Drosophila melanogaster: one gene and its partners. Changing the gene in region 3 together with the main gene of any one other region gives a genetic interaction. Each region holds a gene or a part of one and is shown on either strand. Other genes may lie near its edges.

Region 1 (6,043 bases), on a different chromosome or scaffold from region 3:
TTAAATAACTAGATTATTATAAAATTGATAAAATTAAAGGGTTTGATTGGCGTTTAAGTCGCAATCACTACATATTGAAGCATATCCCTCTTCCTTTTTATTTAAGGGTTGAATTATTCCTTAATACGCACTAATGACACCCCATCATTTCTTAATTTCACTTATTTTACCTATTTACCTAAATTACCCATATATATATATATATATACATTTTTTCTGCCATAAAGAATGGTGAGTATGGTGTTTTAATAATTTGTTATTAGCTAGTTGATATACGCAAATATCTCCGTTTAGAGATTGTTAACAGGCGGTGTTTACGGTTATTGGGAATTGTTTTGCGAGACAAATAATAAAAGTGAAAAAAAGTATCACTGTACAAAATAGTCGACTTCCTCGACTATCAGATACCCGTTATTCAGCTAGTTAAAATGCCATAGCGAAATTTCATGATTTGTCTGGGATATCGATAGATATTGGTGAATAAAATTTTTGGGAAATCAATCAAAATTTAAAAAACTAATAAAAATGTGAAAAAATGTGGCAGTTTTTGAAGATTTGTGGGCGTGGCAACATAGGCCAACAAACTTGCGCTGCGGGTATTTCTCTAGAATCTGTATGCTTAATCTCAACCTTCTAGATTGTATAGTTCCTGAGATCTCGACATTCATACAGACGGACGGACAGCGTCAGATCGACTCGGATATTGATCCTGATCGAGAATATATAGGCTTCATATGGTGAAAACTCTGCCTTCTACCTATTACATACTTTTCAATGAATCTAGTATAACATCTTACTCTACGAGTAACGGGTATAACTACAACTACAACATAGTATATATTCGTGAAATATATATGTGTAATGGTTATGGCATGTCGGTTAAATCGCCAAAAAAGTAAAAAATTGCAAAAATACATATATCTATAAGCAAATTTGGTTATTAACAAAACCACGGTCGAGGGCTTTTCTTGGCCCATTAAAATATGAAAATAGAATATGAATATTAAGGAGCAAATCTAACCTTGTATTGCTTTTCTTTGTACTCTTGCCATGGTTCGGGATTTGATGTGCGATTCCAAGTGACATCGGGATTACGAGTAGCAAGTCGAGCCATATAGTAGACGGCTCCAATAGCTCCCGCTCCAACGCACACATAAAGTGGAATTAACTGAACAAATTTTTGTTATGCAATCAACAGATAACTTAATATAATCATAAAACTTACAGCTGGATTTTTTTTAAGACTTTGCAGACCAAGACCTTGCATTTTGTCTACGTTATAATTAAAATGTATTTAATATGTAAGAAAGAAACACATTTATAAAAAATTACCTAACTTTACTCAATCCAATAAAACAGAATGGAACTATATATTAGATATGGACATATTTCGATGCCAACAGCGATGTCATCGATGTTTTCCAAACATCGGCAACTCGATGTTGACTCAAACATAAAAATATATGTATTCATAACAGGCAGATGTCATATTATTTTATATGTGACATGCCAGTATTAAGCGATGCTGGTATAGAATGGGAACTCAAAAATCATGCACATAAATATTTTTTTTTACATCTAAGGAATATATTATTTTATATACGTAATTTTTATGCATGCTTGTCGCACAGGTTTTATGTTAGGCTGTCATAATAATTTCAAGCCGCCGGGAACGATATAATCTTCTGAAGTAGTCATGCATTTTTGTTACATTTTGTTTATATGTCGAAAGGATTTTTTTTCAATAATAACAAGAAAAAATGCTATGTAGACTTTCCCGACTATTAAATATCCGTTACTCAGCTAGAGGCAATATGATCGCGAAATATCATAATTTTTCTGGGACACGGATAGAAATTGGTGAATGCAATGAGAAAATATTTAAAATTGTTCAAAAATGTGGGCGTGGTCGTTTTTTGGTCGGTTTGTATCGTTAGAGTGGGCGTGGCAAAAAGTTTTATGACAAATCAATAGAAATTTACAAAACTAATAAATATATGAAAATATATATCAACACAATTTTCAAAAGTGTGGGCGTGGCAGCGTTAGGCGTTAGGTTAATATCATATGGTTAATCTAAGCTTTATAGCTTATATTGTTCCTGAGATCTCGACGTTCATACGGACGGACAGACGGACACGACCAGATCGTGTCGACTACTGATCCCGATCAATTGTTCCAATGCTTCCATCAGCCTATTAGGAACTTTTAAACGATTCTGGTATACCCTATTACTCTACAAGTAACCGGTATAATAATAAACATAGAAAACAACAATCCTGATATGTGTGGAATATGTTAATTCATTAAATGAAATATTTTTGTTGGTAAAAATTAAAAATATTATTAAACTTTTCTCAATCGTCTTCAATACTTGAATATCACATATTTTTCACGAGAGTTCAATCATCAAAAATCAATTTTAATTATTTTCTTAAAGTCATTACTAAAGAATGACTCACAGGACTCAAAACTACAAAACTATTTAACTTATTCATTATATATTGGTTACGTTACGTAGGTCATGTGGCTCAGTGGGACTATGATATATTTAAAGCCCGCATTCTTTACAGCACTGCAAAGTTACAATCCTGGTACTATTAATAATCAGTGGACTACATATTATCGAAAAAGGCGTCGTCGGTTAAAGAATTTATGTTAAAACCTGATAAAATGGGCACGTTAACCGATTTCGGACAGATAGCTTTGAAATGGGATCCCAAAAATTTGGAAATTCGCACAATGTCAGTTGAAAAAACACTTGAACCCCTTGTATTACAAGTAACTACTCTTGTAAATACCAAGGGCCCAAGCAAAAAGAAAAAAGGTAAAATGTTTATAGCTTATAGTGCCTAGAAAACCTAAATATTAGAACTTTCAATTTTAAAGAAACTTTTTGCGAGTCGTGAATAACTGTGCGTATACTCATTTTAATTTTATTAATTATAAGTATTGTGTACATACGAGAAATGATAGAAAATGTTCTAAAACGGCTGTGTATACTATACATACATATTGTGACATCTTAAATTTTGTAGGATAGAAAGCATTTGAATTCATGTAACAAGCTTAAAACTGAAAAGGAATGTGAAAGCATCTTTTACCTCTTTAAACGCAAAATTGCGAAAATATAAAAAAATAGCCTATTAGTGATTTACATATATTTTGATTGTGTTTCATTTTGTTATATGTATATCTTTCCAATTTCTATCGATATGCAATAAAAATGTTCAAATTTATAGTTCGCTTGGCCACTAGCTGAGTAACAGGTATCTGATAGTCAAGGAAATTTACTATGGGGTTCGCTGTAATATATATTTGTTACTCGTAAAGTAAAATGGGGTACTAGATTCGTTGAAAACTAAGTATGAGGTAGAAGAAAGCGGTTCCAAAAAAAAAATATATATTCTAGATCAGGATCAATAGCCGAGTTGATCTGGCCATGTCCGACTTTCTGTCCGTATGACAAAGCGTTTTCATATGAATTCATATTTTCATTAGTCTTTTAAATTTCTATCGATTTACCTTTTTTTTTTATTAGAGTTTATCATTTATTATTAGTCATACGTCAATAGGAATCGTTCAGTTCCTTCTGAACTTAACCTAATGTGTAGCTTAAGAGATATGGATTCCGTTCCTTAATTAAAGTGTATACAAATGTACCGTGGAGAGAATCGATTTATCAAAAAACGTTTTGCAACGCCCACTCTAACGCCCAAAAATTGGTTTTCACACAAAAATGTTTTGGTATTTTTCATACTATTTTATTGATCTTGTAAATCTATTGATATGCCAAAATACCTATTGTCAGGCCCACAAACCGCCCAAACTTTTTGAAAAATATATTTCTTGTTTAAATATAATTATTTCTTTTTCAATTTTTACCGATTTTCCAAAAAAATTGAAATCTTTCACACTTCTAGTTGAGTAACGGGGTATCTGATAGTCGGGGACTCGGTTATAGCATCCATTCCAGTTTTTGTTTTAAGTCATGTCAATTCTTTTTGCAAAACCATTTTGGTCAGGAGAACTATATACAGAACTATCACAGGATGTAAACAGCTGTCAGGCCCTTAAAATACAATAAATTGTTACTTCATATTATTTAATTACTGTTTTTATACCCGTTACTCGTAGAGTAAAAGGCAGAAGGAAGCGTTCCCGACCATTAAAAGTAAATATTTTTTGGGCTGGCTCCAGCTCTCTTGAATTTTTGTTCAAGAGCCAGATTTCGGAGAGCTCTTCAGCCAGCAACTTCATTTTACGCATACAGTGACAGCCGAAAACTTTTTGTGTGTACACGAATACTCATGCATTGTAAATTTGACAAAATATGCCCTACACTTCAGAAGTTTTTGGAATTTAAATCTATATTATTTTTGGTCAATTGGCATTATTTTAAAAATAATTTTTTCCTATTCGTATTATTTTTATGAAATATATTTTTTTAAATGTATTAAACTGTATGTGTTAAACTACAAAAGTAATAATAACTATTCCATATCGCAACTTTTTTTCATTTATAAGTTTAAATATTGATGAACCTAATATTAATGCTGTAAAAAAAAACTTCTCCCAGTCCCCTGTTGAAAACTCCAAACATGTTAATTCGTTTCTTAGATCAAAATTGATTTCGGCCCGAAAATCGTCTTCTAGCACAAGTACGCACACATATACACTTTCACGTTTAAACGTTACTCACACAAGCAACCAAAGTCTATTATTTTACGCTCTCAATATTATTCGAGAGAAAAGAGCACAATCTTGGCCGTCACCAAACAAGTAGCTGCTTAGTGAAAAACCAATGTATGGCCCTTACGCATCTTGTTATTCTAGTGTCTTTGATCTGACCCTGTCCGCCCTTCTGTCTGTCCGTTCGTATGAACCTCGAGTTCTCAGGAACTATAAAAGGTTGAGATTAAGACATTTACGCAGCTCAAGTTTGTTGACCCATGTTGGCACACCTATTCTACCGCCCAGAGCTGCTACGCCTGACCTTTGGAAAAATGTGAAGTTTTTTCATATTTTTATTAGTCGTGGAAATTTCTATAGACTTGCCAAAACTGTATGGTAAAAGAGTATACCAGATTCGTTAAATTCCGACTATATAAAGTATATATATTCTTGATCAGGATCAATAGCCGAGTCGATCTAGCCATGTCCGTATGAACGTCGACACATTAGCTAGAAGGTAAAGCCGCCCTAAAACCGCCCAAAACTGACACGCCTACATTTTTGAACCATTTTTCTATGTGCCTAAAATTTTTTGCCACGCCCACTCTTACGCCCTAATTTTTTATAATTTTTTTAGTCTTGTAAATTTTTATCGATTGACCAAACACTTTTTTTCGCAAGTGCGAGAGTACAAGATAGATAGAGGGCGAGAGAGAGTAGCTTAGACAACGAAAGATAATCGCCTATCTGAGATGCCGTAGAGCTTAATGTTGTGTCTCCAAAGTTGGCATGTTTACAAATAAGAAATTTAGGCATTGCTGGCTGATGCAAGACCCGAAAATCGATTTTATTAATGTGATCATTTGATCATTACTTAATGCCGTTTTGTTTTCTTATAAAAATCTATTTTCGCTAGCCCCATTGCAAACGATTTTTTTTGACGAAGCGTAAACAATTTCCTTGGCCTTGGAATCAAATAAGTTTAAATCAATTATAGTATTGAAAATGTGTGTTGAATATTGCATTCTGCAAAAAAACAGATGCCGTTCGAATTAATAGTATTTAAGGCTCGTAGACTCGGCGTTTTCCATCTTAAACTTTAAGCTGTTTGGCAGCTTCATTTAGGTAAGTTGACTCATTTGTAAATTTCTTTGGTGATCGAGAGGAAATAATCAACTTTTACATATATATATATTTAAGTGGTTTAAAAATATCAAAAAACGTATAAACATTGTCGAATAATCTTCTCAATTTTAATAGTTTCTAATTTGTATTTTGTATTTGCAGGAAAATCAAAGCGGGCCAGCGCATTAGTTGCAGCTGTTGAAAAAGCTACAGAAAATTTTATTCAAAAAGGTGAACAGATCGC
Region 2 (5,898 bases), on a different chromosome or scaffold from region 3:
ATTACCCAGAGCAAATACTGAGATACATGGTATTGTACTATATATATGGAACTCCTCGTTTAAGGTGTATTTATCGTTTAGATTTCTTGTTCACATATAATTTAAAAAGAATGTTCATCGATCGCTTTCAGCTCATTTTATATAAACGAGAACCTAATATGTCCCGATATGGTTACCTTTAATTGCTAATTGCTTGGCTTATGTGCCGGACATCCCATCCACATCCGATCCACGAACAAATGCGTTATCAGCTGTCAGATGGGCACTTTCACTCGGAAAAAAAAAGGCGAAAACAAAGGAATTATGCTTTTCCAGTTGATTAGTCGGGTCAGCGGCGGCTAATTCATGTCCGCATAAATTTCAATTCAAATCTCTGACAAACTCTGGAAAGTTTCGGAGCGTAGGTGGCCCGCAAATGGATCGCATTACATGCAGATACTTTGGTATCTATTGCCATTAGGAATGATGAAGTAAGTCAAACAAGACGGCCAGCTGGAGTGGAGTAGAGTGAATTGCATTGGATTGGATTGGATTGGATTGGAGAGCAGCGGTCTCCGAATCCGAATCCAAGTCCAAGTGGATTAAATCGAGCTGGAGTGGGGACTTCACATGCAAATCAGGCTGAGACAGGAAATTATTACACACTTTTCCCAGTCTAGTTTTGGTCATGTGCTGGTGGTGCCTGGTTTCGGTTGCTTTCGCAGCGATTCATTAGCATTGCACGGCTTCCGTATATGGGCTCCGAAAATGTATAAAGTGTTCGTGTGCGGCCAGGCCTATGCCCAATTGCTATAGGGTTATATGGCTATATGGGTCAGAGCTTCCCGTGTCTAGGTAGTGATATCAATCCGTTATCGGGAATCAACTTTCTGTGATGCGGTCACCACAATCGAGGAGACGGGTGGCCGGAGACCTTGGCGGTCTGTCTGGATTTGTCTAGGGTTCGGATTACGGACTATGCCATATTATTATTTCATACACTATAAATACACTATAATGCAATAGATATATTTTTTTTTTTGTAGCAGACTTTGGCATAGCCCAAGAAATACTAGCAGGCCTTGCAGCCTCAAGCTGAAAGTGCCACATATAAATAGCAGGTAATTGGAGGTGAGCAAGTGTGAAGCCACCGGTTGAGATAATTTAACTATCCATCCAATGACTTGGCCCACATTCCAGCTCCAGTGCTCGTGAGAATCGAGTCCGTCTGCTGAATGCCCCCGTATCGCCTCGAACTACTCCGTGGGCTAGGCCAATGTCAGTCTGGCCTAGCTAGCCTAGAGCCTAGAATCCGCCAGCGGCTTGCGTCATAAATAAGGCGGCCACAGGCCAGACGAACCAGTTCGCGAGCGGGTTTGGCGGCAGTTGCAGTTGCAGATGCAGAAGCAAACAGTTGGCCGAGATGCAGATGCTGATGCAGATGCAGATTATGCAACCTGCGCATTTCGTGGAGAAAGCTCAATGGAATTCTAGCGCAGATTGCGGTAGTTGACGTCACAACGGAACTTGCCGTTAATTATTGGTCATTCGTTGGGGATAATCCCTCCAATCGCGAATTATGATAGCCCCCATTCCCTGCCCCTTCCCGTTGCCCAACTCCCTCTAGGCGTCAGTGTGTCGCCAGGAAGTAAACTCAGCGCAGCCCGAAGTGGAGCTACAAGTCATTGAAAACCCACACAAGTAGAGCGTAGGACAGACAAGTGGTATTATGACATTTCCCAACCAGCATAGAGGTGTTGTGTCAGTTGAGTTGGTGTAAAATATGCGATAAATGCCATTGCTATGCTGTGCAGTATTTGTTCTTTTTCCTTTCCAAAGCCATACATACATTTCGATGGACTTCAGTCAGCTGGGTTGCTATAAAGCTATTGCAGTTGCAGTCTTCTAATTTCATGCCGAATCCAAGCCAGGAGCTGCTTCATTCATCGCAACCAATAAGTGCTGGTCGAGAGTGCGAGAATGGGATAGCATGGGATGGGTCTTGAGAGGATCCAGCAGAGGCTCGACCGTTCAGATTGCCCAACTCTTACCCCCCATCGGCATTTCTACACTCGCACACAAGAAGGCAACCGAAAATTATTACTAATTAATTATTGTTGCACAAACAGCAGACGCCTGGCTGCAGTGCACCTCGAGTACTTTCGGTACCTCCAATACCGATCCCATCCCGCCATATAATTTGCCGAATTGGACGTCGGCCACTTGTTTGTTTTTCGTTTGATTTTTGTTTTATGTTTGTTATGCGGCGCGCGGCATTTCGTCAGCTCATTCAATTGAAGCTCATTCAGCCGCACTTAAATCAGGGGCGAAGTGAGCGGGGGAATTGGTGGATTGCGGGATGGCGGCCAATGGGCACTTAATTTCGCTGGAGCGCATTTCACTTTCATTTCCACACAATCAAAATACGTCGAGTACCCGGGCATCGGACATCGGGCATCCGAGCATCGGGGATCGGGGATCGGCGATCGGAGAAGGGGGACTGGGAAAAGTGAGGCGCAAAAATTTCAATTTCATTTTATTTATGAGCGTCTAGGCGACACTTTTGAATGCAAATGACGTTAAATTGTTGGTCAAGTGAGAGCGGACTCTCGCTGCCTATTCCCCCTTTTCCCTGCCCCTCATCTACTTCGCCCCCCCCCCTCGATACGAGGCTCACAGACAGCAGGTGGAAAACCTTAGAGGTGCAGCAGGGAACTGCGTGACGAAACCAAAGCAGTTAAGAGGGACTTACCCTTCAGCCAATAACTTTTCTTCGAAATTGCAAAAGGGGTTGCGAAGTAAAAGCACAGAAGCTAGACAGACTTCCTAACCAAACAAAATAGTTTATGAATATAACAATAGATGTATTAAATGTACAAAGTATTCGAGGCGACAGTGTAGCAAATAGTTTTCACACCATTTTACTGGGTTGCACAAAAAGCGATTCAATTTAACGAAACAACCGAACCGAATTCGTGTAAAGGTCCACTCTTTGGCAGGTTTAAGTGGATCGACCCAGAGACCCACTAACGCCCCCAAAAGCCCAGAGAATCCCTTGGCACTCACCGTGTTGATCTTATCCATGAGGACACTCATTTGATTCATGCTCGACATAATGATACTGCTCTGTAGCACTGGAATTCGAATTCAAAAACTATAACTATAGCGTTGCAAGTCTCTTCTGCCGCGGACTGGGATGCAGCACCAATTCGCACATCACGCACTGCTCATTGCCAATTCACTTGATGCAAAAAAAAATTAATCCGAAGAAAAAAAAAATTTTAAATTGACATACAAAGTGTATTCAAACAGTGTTCGTTCGCTTTGCGAAAAGCACACGCGCGCGCGTATTTCCAATTTCCGATTTAATCAGTTCGACTTCTATATAGCCTATAGCCTTAGGTTTTGCTTTCCATAGCCGGTCTCTGTCTGCCGGATGACTTGACCCGCTCGCGTGCGTTCTTATCGACGGCTGGCAGCGCATTGAACGCTCGCCGCTCAAGACGTGCCCACGGCAGCGGCGACTTGGCCAAAAGCAACACGACGAGCACGAGCACGTCGCCGCGGCAAGCCGAAGAAGTTGGCCAAGACAGAGTGGCAGCGACAGGTGCCAGCAGAGAGCCCGAGAGCCGGAGCGGGCTCCAACGCGAACGCGAAACCGGTCGACGGCAGAAAGCGGGCTCTGAGCCTATTCTGTGCCTAATGCCGCAGACCCCACTGTGTCCCAGTCTCAGTCGCACTCCCGCCCGCACACCGCTCGCCTTGGCTCGCGGATTGGGGCCGCCTTGGTGGATAGTGGGTGGTGGAAGGTGCTGCATTTCCATGTGCGTGCGGGGTGCATTCCTGGGGTATTTATGAAATCACAAGGGCTGAGACACTTGAAGAGATATCGAGGTAATTATGGGTGTGAAACGAAGAGCTTACTGCTACGAGCATTTAGAAGACCAAGCGGAGCCTAAGGTCCACGATACTGGAATACCACCTGCGATTCATTCCCAAATGCAATCCAACCAGTGATAGTTTAACTTCGAAAGGAGACAACTAGCCGACCAATGTAAAGGAGTTGGAAGCATGAAACCAAGCCAAGAAACAATTGGACAGCCGAACTGTCTATCGAACAACTTAATTAGCTCTGGCAAATCAGCCGCACACAACAGACAATTGTTAGTCCGCTCGATAAGTTGTTCGGCAACATGCACATAGCCATGTTCACCGGTAACTTTGGCAATTGTGGGCTCAAAGCCGCCAGAGTCGAAGTCAAAGTCAAAAACAATTTAAGGTCGTCACAAGTAAAGTTTGTTATTCCCTCTCTTTTGTTTCGATTTTGCAAGTGTCATGCAAAAAATAAAATATCATGGCAATACCGCCGTGTAAAAACACCGCCTCTGCCCCTCTATCTCCACTTCCCGATTTTCAGCAACGATTCTCATCATCTCTTTTTTTTATGTAACGGTCCTTATTAGAGCCAATGTTGTTGTCTTATACCGACGATCATTGGCCAAATACCGAATGCTGACGGTCATTCAATTTGGAGTCGACGGCATGAGGTGGCCATCCGTTCTTTAGCTGTTTTGGCTGGATATTCGCGCCTTTTTTTTTTAGCTTTTTGATACCCTTAACAGTTGAAGAGGCAAATGCTATTATTATTTTAAAACCAATTTGATGGTGTAACCATCTTCTACCACGTCTAAATTTTGATCGTTGAAAATAGAAGAGCGACTATTCAATGATGTATCATACTTATATTTATGGGCTGTAAAGCGCACTCATTTTCCGATTTTCTAGACCTATCGAACATTTACCAACTGCCTCCTCGGCAGCGAACCGTCTTCAATGACTTCTTACTCACCTGTTGTTGCTAATTGGCTTCGTTGTTGGGATTAGTCTTTGGCTGCAAGTGGAAAAGAGGAGAACGGCGAGAAGCAAATTAGTAGGAATCCGTCATAGTCATAGGTAGTCGGAGTGGTAGTCTCCCTATTGATTAATGCAATCCTCACAGCCCGAGCCAAATCGAATCGACTCTCCCATTTCCCATCTCCCATTTGCTACTCGAAGGGCTTTTTATGGGTGTTGTGCCAACTCATCCGAAAGCCACCACGCTTCGATCGCAATTACTTGGCCATTATGTGATGCAGCCAGACATAATTTCCCATTAGCAGCTTTTTGTCGATGGGCCAAGAAAACGTGAGCATGAGGCAGTTCGTAATCACTCAAAGAACCCACTTCATTTCCCTGGCTAATCTGATTTGGTTCGCCCCTATCTCCAGGCACAACCTCTGCCCAGCCCCTTTTCCATTTCCAGCTAATCGCAGATGCTCCTACTTCATCAAGTCTGCCTCCGCCCGAAATCTTGTAAAATCATATCCATATCATTTTTGAGCTTGAGCTGACGAAATCCTAAAGTACAGAGAAGGTGTTTAAAAACATTGGTTGAAAGTGAAATTTTGCCCACGGCCGCGTCGTCTTCAATTTGTTTATTTTCGGCTGTTTAAATGAGTTTTCAATTTCACTAGAAAGCATGAAAGTACGGCCTTTTAATATTCTTGCCGGGCAGAAATCACAGCGAAATGGAGAAATACACAAACAATTTATCCGCCTGTTGGCACCTGACATGAATGAGTCAAACACAAGTGTTTGCTCGCCCCGTCCTTTTCCTTCGGACTCTCTCTCTCTCTCTTGCGCACGCCCACTAAATCACAAGTGTGAGTGACGAGTGGAAAGGGTGGAAAGGGTAGGGTTAGGGGTGCAGGTGAAGGGCGCGATAACTGATGTGATGCGGCTAATCTGCTTGCCAGTTTCCTGAGCCTTCTAGGGGAAAATCAAAAGACTTAAGCAACGAACTTGGGGAACAACGCTAAGGAAACAACAAAGCTGAGTAAAATAAATCTCTCGATGAAAGTGTATTATAATAATCACTGA
Region 3 (5,327 bases):
GAGGCCACCTGCTGCTCCGAAATGCTTCGCGGCGCTTGTGGGAACAGTTGGGCGTGCAAATTCCGCGAGATCATCTGCACCTTGACCAGATTTTCCGCATATTCCGTTGGGCCATTCTCCACATTCTCCGGCTTCTTTGGTTTGTTTACCTTTTGCGGAGGCTTGACCCGCCGAAAGATCTTCACGCTACTGCTGGCGTAGTGCTCCCGGCTAACTTTGCTGGCGTACTTTCTGATCAGGTGGAACTGCATCCTCGTTTTAATAAAGGAAACATCCTTTAAGGCAACTGAAGTCCAACCTGCGACCACACACTCCTCCGTAAGATTGCCGCCAGCCTAGGTATTTTTGTGCGCTTGCGCGGCGGTCACATTGATTTAATTCAAATTTATTTCCGTTAAATTAATAATAAATAAATATAAAACATTTTCAAAAAATTCCAACAAATCAAATTTCTTGCTGCTTGAAACGATTAATTATTAAAAAACAAACACTTAACATTTGATTTTACGAATAAAAAACATTTTATTCAGTTTGCTATAAAGGTGAAACACTTTAAAACACACACACACTTTCGGAACCATTATGGAAGTTGGTGGGGGGGGGGGGGGGGAAAGAACAATCTCTTCGGTTAATTTATGTAAAAAGGCTTTCGCACGGTACAGAACAATGGGAAAAGCGATTTTGGAAAACATTTTGGCAAATACTTCGCTCCTGGCCAGGCCAACACACTCGCTAACAGACAATAACACGTAACGCTGGTCCGTTCCGGGCCGCACTAGATCTGCAGGTTGCGCATGCCGCCATTGATGCCGCCCTGCTCCACATTCCAAATGACCAGCTGCCCGTCGACGCCCGAGGTGGACACCTTGGTGGCGCTCGCCTTGTCGCCGGCATACAGTCGCACGCTGGTGATGGCGTTCTGATGTATGGAATCGACCACCGTGTCCGTGTTCTCCGTGCGCATGTTGCGGTCCATCGACTGAAAGATTCTCATGGCGGTAATGCCGCTCGACTCCTTCTTCTGCGACTTATCGAGCTTGCCGCTCAGCACCAGCTTTCCATCGGCAGTCAGACTGTAGAGCAGTGGCACACAGCTATAGCCGGCCACCACGACGGACGTGGGCGAGACCCATTCGCATGACAGGAAGGGCAGATAGCCGGTGCGGCATCGAATGACCGTATTGCCATTGGTAGCGTCCGCGATGCTCACGCAGCTGTCGTGGCCCACCCAGCAGACCTTGTTACCGTCGCTGGAGAAGCTCACGCTGTTAATCCAGCCGCCACCCGAGGTCTGCGAGTTGCGGAACTCGGCCATTAGCTGGCCAAGGGGCTTGCGATTGCCCCACGGCGTCGGCGTCGGTGGCTCCTCGATGTCCTTGATGAAGGCCGAGAAAACGCGCACCTTGTAGTCCGTGGAGCCGGCCAGCAGCAGAACGTTGTTCGGATGCCAGTCCAGCGAAGTGACCGTAGAGCGGATCGGCTTCTTGATGTGCTTCGACACCCACCAGTCGTTCTCCGACTCGAAATAGCACACGGATATGAGTCGGGCGCCCGAACCCACAGCGAACTTGTTCTCCGCCGGCGACCACTTGACGCAGGTTGCCGCCCGATTGATGCGCAGCAGCACCAACGCCGGCTTCCACTTGCCATCGTCGCCCTGCGTCCACACATAGGCATTACGGTCGGCGGCACAGCTCACAATCCGATTGGTGTTCTTGGCCCAGTCGATGCCCATGACGCGCAGATCGTGCTGGTTGAGCACGTCCGCCAGCTTCCAGTCGCTGCCCTCCCGGCTGTATATGTGGATCTCATGGTTGTTGGGCGATAAGGCAATCTCTGCGAATTTTTGGGAGTGGGTGGTGGTGAGTCACACTGTGCCGGATGAGTAATTTGGGTCGCACTTACGGGTTCGATCCTTGTTCCATGCGTGGCAGGTGATGGAGGCCAGCGAGGTGCCAAAGGTGTATGTCTCGGCCATCGTGGGTGGCTAAATGCGCTCGGAATGTGCAGTGTTCGCTCGTCCAAATCCAACCACACGCGTAGTTTCTTCGGTTCGGTTCGCCGGATTTTCGGATTTTGGATATCGCTGTGTAGCAATTGGGCGTTGTTTCCGCTGGATTTTAGCTTCGCTCTCGTTTTAATCGCGGACTCTGGGCCGTCAACACGATTAAGCTGGCGTTGCTGGGATGGATTCTGGCTTTGCCTGGGCCGGAAGAGTAGAGCGTTGTGGAAAAAACTCTTTGGAAAAGTAATGCACAAAATTAATCACCCGAAATTAGAGCTGGAACAAAAATCGATGGCCCTCAATACTATCGTTATTTCGTTATATCGATATTTTTCGATTGTTTGAAAAATGCTAAGGTACCAGTGCTGTTACGCACGTTCGGTATATACCAGAGGGAATAATTTGGCGCCATTTCAATGGTCACACTAAACAGAAACCATTTCTTGTAAACAAATTTTTAATAACTGGCTGGCTCGTAATTTATTTTTGTTATTTTATAAACCGAGGAAGTATTTTCCCTTTTGAAAGCCCGTTTAAATAACACCACTTCGCCTGTGGGTAGCTGAGGAAACTTAAAAGCAGACGACAGCTATGGAAGCCATCTGCTCCTCCTTGGAGCCGCTGTTTCCCTGTCGGGAGGCGGCCATTGAAACGCTGGGCGAGCTGATAGGAGATTCGAGTGAGACATATCCCTCGGCAATTTACCTATTCGGACACAGTGGAACCGGCAAAACAGCTCTGACCAGAGCTTTCCTCAAAGAATGTGGAAAACGGCAAAATGTCCGCACAGCGCATTTAAATGCCATCGAATGCTACACCACCAAGATAATGCTGGAGATCCTGTTAGACTCGCTGGCACCCGATCAAGGTGATGCGCTGAAGGTCGACAACATGCTGGACTTTGTGGAGCAGCTGCGTCGGCAGGCCGCTACACGCGTGGAGGATCAGGGATTTCTCATAGCCGTGGATAACGCGGAAAGGCTGCGCGACATGGATGCCAATGTGTTGCCCGTTCTTCTCCGACTGCAGGAGCTGACCAACCTGAATCTGTGCGTTATTCTGCTCTCCCAGCTGCCCTTTGAGAAGTTCTACAACAAGACCGGACTTAGTGAAATCGTCTGCCTGCACTTGGCGCAGTACAACAAGGCGGAGACACAGCGCATCCTGGGATCTGACTTTCAGCAGGTGCGAAATCAACTGCTGGAACAGTTCGCCCAGGATAAGAAGCGTCTGGAGATTTGCCAGGAAGCCGTAACTGAAGACTTCTACAACAACTATCTGAATCTCTTTCTGAGCGTCTTTTACAAAGCCTGTCGCGATGTTCCAGAGCTCCAGCTGACCGCCAGGAAGTGTCTGTCCACATACTTGGAGCCTGTACTCGACGGCACTGTGGATGCCACGGACATCTCCCGGCTTTGGCGGCATATAGCTGGACCACTGCGTTCCGCCTTAACCCAGATTTATATGCGAATTGAAAAACCCGCGGAAGAAGTTGAAGATTTCACCGCCATAGAAGATCAGAGCGTTCGCAAGCTGGCGCAGTCGCTGGAGCTGCCCTACTATGCCAAATTTCTGTTGATCGCTGCCTTCTTAGCCAGCCACAATGCCGCCAAGCAGGACAAGCGATTGTTCGTCAAGCACCATGGAAAACAGCGAAAGCGGATGCAGACGGTCAACGCCAGAGCCAAGGTGGGTTATTCAATTTTTCGATGACTCCATTTGCTTATTTTAATACCTTTTAGACCACGGAGAAAATGTCCACCACTTTGGGACCCAAATCCTTTAGCATCGATCGTTTGCTGGCCATTTTCTACGCCATTCTAGAGGAGAAAGTCGGTCTGACCTGCAACCTTCTCTCCCAGATCTCAACTTTGGTGCACCTCAATCTACTAAGCTTCGTCTCCGGCGAACAAAACATAATGGAAGGTTCCGCTAGGCTGCAGTGCACCATTGGCTTGGAGTTTGTCCTGCAGATTGGCAAGGTGGTGGGCTTTAATGTCCGCCAATATCTCTGCGACTTTATGTAGCCCCTGGTTGTTTTTTTTAGTTTTTAAATATATTTAATAAATAGTCCGGTACATCGCTTATGTGTATGGTCTCCGCCAGCCTTGTGTCCCGGCTGCGCAACTGCATCAGTCCGTTTCTTAGCGTTTGCTCGTTTATAACAAGTGTATAAGGTATGCCGAGCATATCCGTTTCCAGCAAGTGCTCTGCTAAATGAGAAGCGTTCTTCGTCGTACGAATTCCATCCCCTTCAGAAAGTCTAAGACCGGCGTGGTTGAGAACATGTTTCAGATGCTGACAAAGATCAGACAAGTCAGCAGATAGCTCGGAATCACTTTCCACACAGGCAATTCCACATTGATATGGCGCCAGAACGCGGTGTAAGAGCAGGGATTGCGAGTCCCGGCCATGATCACAGCCATCCAGAAGCAGAGCTAAAGGATAATAATATAGAAAGATTTTCAAAGATAGTTATGATGACCACTTACCGCAGGTGGTAGTTTCCAGCTCTATCACAGACCTTATGACAGTCGGTTGCACAATTTCACCCGTTCGCGCATCGGGCAGCCGGAAGTCTTTGTCGTCCACTATTCTCACCAGGCTCAGTTGCTCCACGGTCACTTCTCCTGCATCACCGTAGCTCGTGCGGATATCGATGGCTTGATAGTCGTTGGGATTGAGATCCTCAGCCAAATCGCAAGGTACGATGCGGTAGCGACTGGGATTCGAGGAAAGACGCATCCACCAGATCTTGCTCTCACGCTGCATGTTGTAGAAGTGCTCCAGTGCGCGATGTGGTTCCACTAGGAAGTCCGTGGTTAAATGTAGCGTAGGACCCTTTATCCCAAATAGGGAATTGCTAGTGGGACCAGAACAAGTGCTTTGATGTTTCAGAAGAGTGGGACATTTGGCCTTTCGAGGATGATCTTTGACGAGTTTTTGGAAATTGTTACGGAATTGCTGGCTTTGTGGAAAGGAAAAACGCTGGATGTTGACTGGATTTATGGGTTCTTTCGTGGCGCCCAGGTGCGCAGCCAAGGGACGTAGTCGTGTCCAATGCTGTTGCAACAGTTTGGCGTATTCCCTTCCATGACTCAGTAGCTCCAGTTTATTGTCTTCCACGGTGCGAAAGAAGCCAGCGGAAGCCAGGGACTTAAAGCATCGTTGTATGCGACTCATTGCTCCAGCGGAATGTTGCCCGGCGGCGAAACGAAGTAGTCCTCGTCCGTCACCTTGGCGTTCCGGAGCACCTCCGCCCGGCAATCGCCTTCGGTCACCTGGTCGTTGCGTAACTGGAGCTGCTGATGCTCCAGGACCG

What was found. A genetic interaction does not mean that the proteins touch.
Region 1: of Arpc1 (region 3) and alpha-Cat, changing one suppresses a phenotype caused by changing the other (phenotypic suppression), as found in Drosophila melanogaster (one study listed by BioGRID).
Region 2: of Arpc1 (region 3) and DAAM, changing one enhances a phenotype caused by changing the other (phenotypic enhancement), as found in Drosophila melanogaster (one study listed by BioGRID).

Annotation. Positions count from the first base shown.
Region 1 is NT_037436.4:23,334,659-23,340,701, reverse strand, and holds the start of alpha-Cat (alpha catenin), read left to right. Parts: upstream 1-2,601; 5' UTR 2,602-2,655; coding exon 2,656-2,827; intron 2,828-5,961; coding exon 5,962-6,043. Other genes in the region: ND-MLRQ (NADH dehydrogenase (ubiquinone) MLRQ subunit), read right to left, coding at 1,022-1,168, 1,226-1,267. UniProt on the Drosophila melanogaster protein: Associates with the cytoplasmic domain of a variety of cadherins. The association of catenins to cadherins produces a complex which is linked to the actin filament network, and which seems to be of primary importance for cadherins cell-adhesion properties.
Region 2 is NC_004354.4:1,305,031-1,310,928, forward strand, and holds the start of DAAM (dishevelled associated activator of morphogenesis), read right to left. Parts: upstream 3,443-5,898; 5' UTR 3,094-3,442; coding exon 3,046-3,093; intron 1-3,045.
Region 3 is NT_033779.5:13,827,441-13,832,767, forward strand, and holds Arpc1 (Actin-related protein 2/3 complex, subunit 1), read right to left. Parts: upstream 2,302-5,327; 5' UTR 2,270-2,301; exon of another isoform or gene 2,204-2,269; 5' UTR 1,979-2,203; coding exon 1,906-1,978; intron 1,837-1,905; coding exon 776-1,836; 3' UTR 501-775; downstream 1-500. Other genes in the region: PolG1 (DNA polymerase gamma subunit 1), read right to left, coding at 1-251; Orc5 (origin recognition complex subunit 5), read left to right, coding at 2,597-3,694, 3,748-4,032; PolG2 (DNA polymerase gamma subunit 2), read right to left, coding at 4,049-4,443, 4,498-5,188; GatC (Glutamyl-tRNA amidotransferase, subunit C), read right to left, coding at 5,185-5,327.